2 linked regions of the Oryzias latipes genome follow. The protein of the gene in region 1 binds, or shares a complex with, the protein of each later gene. Links are inferred from orthologs where the notes say so. Each region holds a gene or a part of one and is shown on either strand. Other genes may lie near its edges.

Region 1 (4,314 bases):
ATGTTGCAACAGCTGACAGGATCAATGTTCACAAAGGAGGGCCCACTCGCCCAAAAATATTAGTCAAAGCGGCTCAAAACAGACCAATGGTTAAAAGTTCTGCTAAAGTCTCATTAGCTCCACACATATTTGGTTTTCCACATTAAACCCCTCTTCTGGGGAGGAGGGAACCATACAAGACTTGTCTGCGGACATCAACAGCCAGAACTGGAAGTCCTCAACCAAAACCAGAAGTCCCCCCATATTGTTCAGGGGGGGAAAAAATCCCCATTTTAAACTTGAAGCTTGACAGGTTTTTTTTTTAATCTGAACTCTTTTTGGGGGTGGGATTTCGGTTCCAGCCAATGCTGTTAGGCGCCATAAGCAGCCAGGTCCCTATCGAACCATTTGGTGGTTTAACCCCTCAATCCAACCCCTTAATGCTGAGTGTCGGGCAGGGATGCACTGGGTCCCATTTTTAGTCTTCGGAATGACGCCACCACAGATTTGAACTTATGACCTCCCAGTCTTAGGATGAACGTTGCACCACTAGAATCACATAAGGCCCTTTTAACACGCCGTTTCCTTTCTGCCTGTAAGGCGTCTTTTTTTCGCCTTGGTCTGAACTGACCCACTCGGCCTCTGCTCCACTCCAGAGGTGCAACTTGTCTAAGCTGCAAACAGACAATGACCTGTTATAGAAAGTTTTTTTTTTTTATACCAGCAGGTATTGCCCCAATATTTTCTGACTGACTACTTTTCATGGGAAATGTGTTTAATTGCAGGAGAGAATTGAACAGCAAACATCTTTTCACCAAAGTGAGACCAAGAGACCTTCCACACTGCTGGGCCACCTTTCCACAAACAACATCAGATAAAGACAAAAGGTCATGTTTCTCTGGTTAGTGGTCAGTCATTCTCCCCAGGAGGTTATAATTAATACGAGAGCATCTGGTCACACAACACCAGACACCCCTGAACTGTTTTTTAAGACAAAGTTCAATGATTAAGCATACATTTATACTTCCTCTTATCTTCTGAAGCGTTCTTTTTAAAATTATATTTAGATTTAAAGATCTTTGAGGAGGAGGAGTTAAAACCCTGAGAATGATCTTTTCCGGCTCACACCAAAAGGTTCCCAGAAATGATGCGTGCATAGAAAAAAAAGCCATTATAAACCATTGTTTGGTCCCATCATTGATTTATTCTATACGTTAAAGTCCCACTCGATCATCTTTTAATCTAGTGTAAAGTGTTCCCAGTGGTCTTTTAATTATGATTATGCCGTTTTTTAGCCACATTTTTAGGACATAGTTTCTGCAGAGCAGCAGACGTTCATCAGTACTTCCCCAGGTGGGACCCCTGGCACAGAGCAACCCCGATCCCCCTACCCGTCACCCACAACTGAGAGCTCTCTGCTTGCACACTCTCCCACCATTACATCCCCAACCCAACATTACCGGCGCAACAAAAATGACAAGCAAGGTTGTAGCTATGGATCCAGTCGTACAGTTTTAGAACCAGATTACAGAGGAGGAAAACCAAGACGTACATGCATCCATGGATGCATTAGAATGAAGAGCAGGGAGTTCATGCCGATTTCTCGAACAGTAGCCCCCAAAAACATTGACTAAAACAAAGTGATTCTGTGAAAAAATTGATATCCTTGTGAAAATATAATATATAATATTTCTCTCATGTTCTTGTTCATGTCCAGGAATATTTTAGAACATTTTTATATGTGAATCTACATCAGATTTGACTAAATTACTAACTGAAGTGCATACATTCATTTGTTTTGATATACTTCAGGTGCAAACCTGAAGAATTCTTTTTTTCCTATGAACTTTTAAAAACCCTCCAAAAGTTGTTTTTCCTCAAAATGTAAATCACCTGAGGAAATACTGAACGTTTTATTTCAGTCCATCAATGAAGAAAAGATGAGAGTCGAAATCTAAAGTGAAACAAAAGAATGTAATTATTCGTGTTTGTCGCATGTTTTCAATGGTGGTTATTTTGATCTACATCCCCATCTCTCTTTTGTGTTCGCAAGAATTCCTCTTCAGCTCCGTCAAACTGAAATAGACAGTAGTCGCGTCACACTCAGATCTCTCAGCGGTGTTAGTAGTGGGATTCCAGCCGCATCCAAACGGGAATGTCAACGAACGACTACAAAGCAAAGCCGCGCGGCGGCTCGTCCGCGTGCAGGAAGAATGTGCAGCCGGAGGCTACAGGTTGAGAGCGCGGAGGAACACGCCCAGGAGCGGCGCGGTGCGGCCCGCAGGGCCTCCTGATGGGAGCCTGTCCGAAACACGAGCCGCGCGACCCGACGGGCTTTCGTGTAACCTCCAGGGCGCAGCGGCGGACACACTCAGTGGGGCACACTGTGTGCCCCACTGACACGGCGGTTCAGCTGCGTGCGTGCGTGTTAGCGTGTGTGTGTGTGTCTGTGTTGTGAGGGGAGGGGGGGGCAATGTCTATGTGGCGCGTGTAACTTCAAACTCGTTTCCTCTTCGTGTAATCTTAACTGTGCCTCGCGCGCAGCCGTTAGCCGTAAACACGTCACTTCGCTCAGGTTCTTTTGATCGTTCTGGTGACGTCACAGACCCCTGGCCACAAACTCGAAACTTTCGAAGTTGGTAAAATAAAAACTCTGAAGGTCTGACCTGCGCGCGGGAATCCGATTCCGTCGACGGCGGCGCTTCCAGCAGTGGGACCCGCCTCGTCGAACTTTTCTCCACTTTTAATTCCAGAACAAAATCCGTTTTTTAATGACGGAAGAGGCCAAGCGCTGCTTTTCCTTCGCTCCCCTCCCTGTCTGCTAGGAGTTGTGGTGCTGCTCAAACTCCACCCTGACGAGGCGCGAGGGTGGAGTTTGCGCAGCACCCTCTGAGCCCAGCTGCAGCACAGCGATCCGGTCTGTGTGCGTGTAGACCGCGGCGGTACCCGCCCGCAGCTGGACAGCTTCAGGTCATGCCACCGCTGCTGCTTTGGACAGAGCGGGACCGCGCGCGCTCAAATACACGCGGCCTTTAAAACCCCCTCCAGCAGAAATAGGGTGCTTTAACGTGTTCTTGTAGCATTTTTTTCTTGATAGAAAACATATATTAAGAAAACTGACAGTTTTTTTTAATCAAATCATTATGGACAACCACAATGCAGTAGGACTTACAATGACAAGCCACTAGCTCCCTGCGCTGCTCCATTCTGATGCATCCACTGTAGTCAAATAGATCCATGTACAGTACAGACCAAAAGTTTGGACACACTTTCTCATTCAAAGAGTTTTCTTTATTTTCATGACTATGAAAATTGTAGATTCACACTGAAGGCATCAAAACTATGGAACTGGAATTATATACATTCCAAAAAAGTGTGAAACAACTAAAAATATGTCATATTCTAGGTTTTTCGTAGTAGCCACCTTTTGCTGGGATTTTTACTGCTTAGCACACTCTTGGCATTCTCTTGAGCTTCCAGAGGTAGTTAGTCACCTGAAATGTTTTTCACTTCACAGGTGTGCCCTGTCAGGTTTAATAAGTGGGATTTCTTGCCTTATTTATGGGGTTGAGACCATCAGTTGTGTTGTGCAGAAGTCATATAGATAAACACCTGATAGTCCTACTGAATAGACTGTTGTAATTTGTATTATGGCAAGAAAAAAGCAGCTAAGTACAGAAAAAACGAGTGGCCATTATTACTTTAAGAAATGAAGGTCAGTCAGTCTGAAAAATTGGGAAAATTTTGAAAGTCTCCCCAAGTGCATTCACAAAAACCATCAAGCGCTACAAAGAAACTGGCTCACATGCGGACCGCCCCAGGAAAGGCAGACCAAGAGTCACATCTGCTGCTGCGGATAAGTTCATCCGAGTCAGCAGTCTCAGAAATGGCAGGTTAACAGCAGCTCAGATTAGAGAGCAGCTCGATGGCACACAGAGTTCTAGCAGCAGACACATCTCTACAACTGTTACAAGGAGACTGTGTGGATCAGGCCTTCATGGTAGAATATCTGCTAGGAAATCACTGCTAAAGAAAGGCAACAAGCAGAAGAGACTTGTTTGGGCTAAAGAACACAAGGAAAGGACATTAGACCAGTGGAAATCCGTGCTTTGGTCTGATGAGTCCAAATGTGAGTTTTTTGGTTCCAACCACCGTGTCTTTGTGCGACGCAGAAAAGATGAACGGATGGACTCTACATGCCTGGTTCCCACCATGAAGCATGGAGGAAGAGGTGTGATGGTGTGGGGGTGCTTTGCTGGTGACTCTGTTGGGGATTTATTCCAAATTGAAGGCATACTGAACCAGCGTGGCTACCACAGCATGCTATTCCATCTG
Region 2 (3,569 bases), on another chromosome or scaffold:
AACGATGACGTCTTCCCACAGCTGCTGTTCTCACCTCACAGGGATGAAGTCAGGAACTCTGTTAAAGCAATATTCCCCCCCCCTCCAACACTTTCACATCAAACCCCTGGCAGGTCTATTGGTCCTGCTCCCCCCTCCCCTAATGACTGTCTGAACCGGTCCAGACAGACCTGTGATGATCTCACTGGCTTTCAGTCAGTCCTCACTGGAACTCCTGGCGTGAGGAGGTGAAAAGGTCATCCACTGACTCACCTTTGACGGCTTTGCCGAATGAGACGGGGGAGCCGGCGGGGGGGAGGTGGTGGAGGAGGGGGGCGGGAAGGCGCTCGCCAACGATGCAGGCGAGGGAGAGGCGGCGGCAGCCTGAACGCTCTGGCCATTGGGCGGAGGGGGCAGGTCGGGCGGGGGCGGCGTTGGCGCCTCCAGGCCCCGAATCTCCGCCGCCAGCTTCTCCTCGGTGGCGTTCAGGTCGGCCATCAAGTCAGACATGAGGTCGTCCAGATCCTTGTCCTCCAGCTCATTGAGGGACGCTGATGAGGAAAAATGATCTGTTTTTACCTTCAGTTTAGAGTTTGTGGATTTTCTGTAACTCAAAACAATATTTTTACATTATTATTCAATCATCGTGACCTATTTTGTCATTTAAATAATTCATTTTATAATTCGGGGCAATAATTTGTGCAGTATTATTGTACATAATAATAATAATAATAATGGATTGGATTTATCTGCGCTTTTCAAGACACCCAAAGCGCTTACATTGTGTCCATTATTCATTCACTCCTCATTCATACTTGGTGATGGTAGCTATGGTTGTAGCCACAGCTGCCCTGGGGCAGACTGACAGAGGCGTGGCTGCCATTTCGCGCCTACGGCCCCTCTGACCATCACCGGGATCATTCATACACATCCACACACCAGTGGAGCCACACTGGAGGCAAGGAGGGTGAAGTGTCTTGCCCAAGGACACAACGACATTTTGGCTGGTGGGAGCGGGGATCGAACCGCCAACCCTTCGATCATTGGACGACCCGCTCAACCACCTGAGCCACTGTCGCCCTGTTAACGCTTTCTTGCACTGATGATCTGTTTTTTTTTTTTTTTTGTATTATTTATGTCTGTTCCAATGAAAATCAATACATATTTTCCGGATCCATAAACAAATAGTCAGTGAAGTTACGTTCACTGAATCTGGGAAAACTTTTTTTAGTGTGATCATGTTTTTCATCATAAAGTAATTTGACTTTTTTAGTTTGTAAATTCTGCACAAAGAAAACGTTTTAACCAAACGGCCATAAACAAGACGCTGTTCAAGTCAGTGTTTGAGTCGCACTTTTGTTTTTCCTTAATTTTGAACATTTAAAACAACTTAATAAACAAACAGTCTCTGGTTTCTAACTGGTGACCTAAATGGACAACAACTTTGTTTATAAGATTAAGTTCTTTTTAAGTTTGATTCAGAAATGGACCGTTTGTGCGCCTCCAAATTAATTCTTAGTCTCCAACTTTTGCTTCCTAGTGAGATACAACATAAACAGGAAGTAAAGTATCCTGGTTAAAAAAATAAAGTGCACATGCAGCAATTTGAGGCTGTTTGAGCCTGAACACTGCTCAAATCAGAGTAAACACGAGGTATTTTTAGCCGTTTGTTGTCTTGTTCCTATGTCGTGAAAGGTTTTTGAAAACATGTGTTTCCTGCTTTTTGCTCTTGCAAAACTGAGGATATTGCACAGTCCAATGATTGTGCAAAAGCTCAACAAAAGCACTCGTCTCTCACCATTCCAGTCCGCATAGTCGGTGGAGAAGTTGACCTCCTTGGTGGAGCTGGGGAGATCTGCCGCAGGTCCCGTTTCCTGACCCAGGCTCTGCAGAGCAAAGGGGGCTTTGTTAGAAAGAAGTGTGAGTTTCGGTTTGATTCCAGGCGACCCTCAGGGGAGAGCGATCAATAAAATACTCTGACAGCCTGAAACTCTAACCCAAAACGTGAAGTGAGAGTTTGGAACTTTATCAGAGCAAACATCCGCTTTTGTTCAATGTTTGCTTTTTTTTCATCTACTTTTTATGAACAAGGCTAAATGTGCTCAGAGTTAAATTAATAATTGGGGTAACTTTTCTCATCAGTTCCACAAAAACAAAAGAAACCAAACTTTCTAAGCAGCATAAACCAGCTCCAAAACGGTGGAATCATGATAGAAAATGTAAAAAATGTTTGTTTTTTTAAAGAAACCCCTGGAATAATGTGCAGACTCACCTGAGTGAGGAGGTCCATCTCTCCCAGGAGGTCACTGAACATGGCGTCAATGTCCTCCATCTGGAGAAAGAACCAACAAAGACTGAGACTGTCTTCCATGCAATCTTCATTTCAAAACACACAAAAACAATAGAAATGCACGAAGGAGGTTTAAGCTCATTTAAGCATCAGAATAGACCCAAAAGTCACATAGAGGTCGGCCTCAATTGCTGCAGGTAAACGTGATCTTGTGAAATTTAAAACGTGAAGGACCACTGAAGACATTTTATAGCGATTTACAACAACAAAACACCAGAACGAACAAAAGTGTGTTTCCAAATGTTGCAGAAACATCTCTGTTGTTTCCTCCATCCTTTTCTTTCTGATCAATCACAATGTGTTTTTTTTTGGGGGGGGGGGTGGGTCACTGAAATATCCTTCAAATAAAGAGAAAACTTCTATTCAAAGGGTCACAGGGTTCACAGGCCAGGTTCAAGATTAAGTGGAAACCCCGCTGCAGTGAAGGAAGATGATTTCCAGTGGCTGCTGCAGAAATTCTTGTAGTTTTGATCATTGATCGGGAAATATCTGTTAAAAGAATGATAAAACAATACTCGCATGTTTTGTGTGGTGAGACGCAACGTCGCCCCTTTTTGCGCTGCAGAAACGTTTCCCTGAGGTGACACAATCCTGCAGAACAGTCCCGCCCCGGCTGAAGGAAGGCAGGAATGCACGCCTCCAGGTATTCCCGCTCTGTTACAGCTTGCCCCGCTGTGCTGATGTGAAACTTTCATTTGCTGTTTTTATTTCAGATTAAAGCAGAGAACTCTTTGCTTTTGGAGCCATTTGGAGTTAAAACAGCTTCTGCACAAACACTAACAAACATTTGATGCTGCGTTTTTTGGCGCTTCCTGTCATTATTCTGTGCTGTGTTTTTGCAAAAAAAAAAAAAGCTGTGGGTTTTGAGATGAATGTCTTACATGGGTTTAAAATACGGTTTCTGAATTACAATTTTACTTTGTCTAGATTTTACGTGTTTCAGGCAGACGTTCAGAACCTCCGATGGATGACTCTGTGATTGGATGAACAGCAGGAGAAGGAGGCAGTCAGTGTTGCCAATGATTCGGTTAAAAAAAGGTGAAATTCATAAGAGTCTCTGCTGTGCTGCTTGAAAAAAATATTGCAACATCTTGGAATTGCTGCCTTGCATCAGAAGAGTGTTCTCAGCTGTGAAGAGCAGCACTTCCTGCCTATTACCAGTTTCAGTAGCAGTGGATGCAGTTTGGGTTCTGTCGCCCACAGCCTGCCCGTAGAAAAAATGTACATGAACATTTTCTCC

The links. Proteins that work in one complex are often made in the same cells at the same time.
Region 2: the proteins of tln1 (region 1) and apbb1ip are in contact, whole or in part, in a crystal structure (PDB 4W8P), measured with the Mus musculus proteins. The link is inferred for Oryzias latipes from reciprocal best matches to the Homo sapiens genes TLN1 and APBB1IP. Residues at the interface, in NP_035732.2 of Mus musculus: Leu1492, Ala1495, Thr1496, Val1498, Ala1499, Thr1502, Ser1503, Cys1506, Asn1507, Arg1510, Val1526, Ala1529, Lys1530, Ala1533, Asn1534, Thr1536, Ala1537, Val1540, Ile1543, Lys1544, Asp1547; in NP_062329.2 of Mus musculus: Asn5, Ile8, Asp9, Met11, Phe12, Thr14, Leu15, Glu18, Met19, Leu21, Leu22, Ser25.

What each region holds. Positions count from the first base shown.
Region 1 is NC_019870.2:24,789,672-24,793,985, reverse strand, and holds the start of tln1 (talin-1), read right to left. Parts: upstream 2,854-4,314; 5' UTR 2,646-2,853; intron 1-2,645. UniProt on the Homo sapiens protein: High molecular weight cytoskeletal protein concentrated at regions of cell-matrix and cell-cell contacts. Involved in connections of major cytoskeletal structures to the plasma membrane.
Region 2 is NC_019878.2:23,076,786-23,080,354, forward strand, and holds part of apbb1ip (amyloid beta A4 precursor protein-binding family B member 1-interacting protein), read right to left. Parts: intron 2,312-3,569; coding exon 2,252-2,311; intron 1,866-2,251; coding exon 1,778-1,865; intron 531-1,777; coding exon 253-530; intron 1-252. UniProt on the Homo sapiens protein: Appears to function in the signal transduction from Ras activation to actin cytoskeletal remodeling. Suppresses insulin-induced promoter activities through AP1 and SRE. Mediates Rap1-induced adhesion.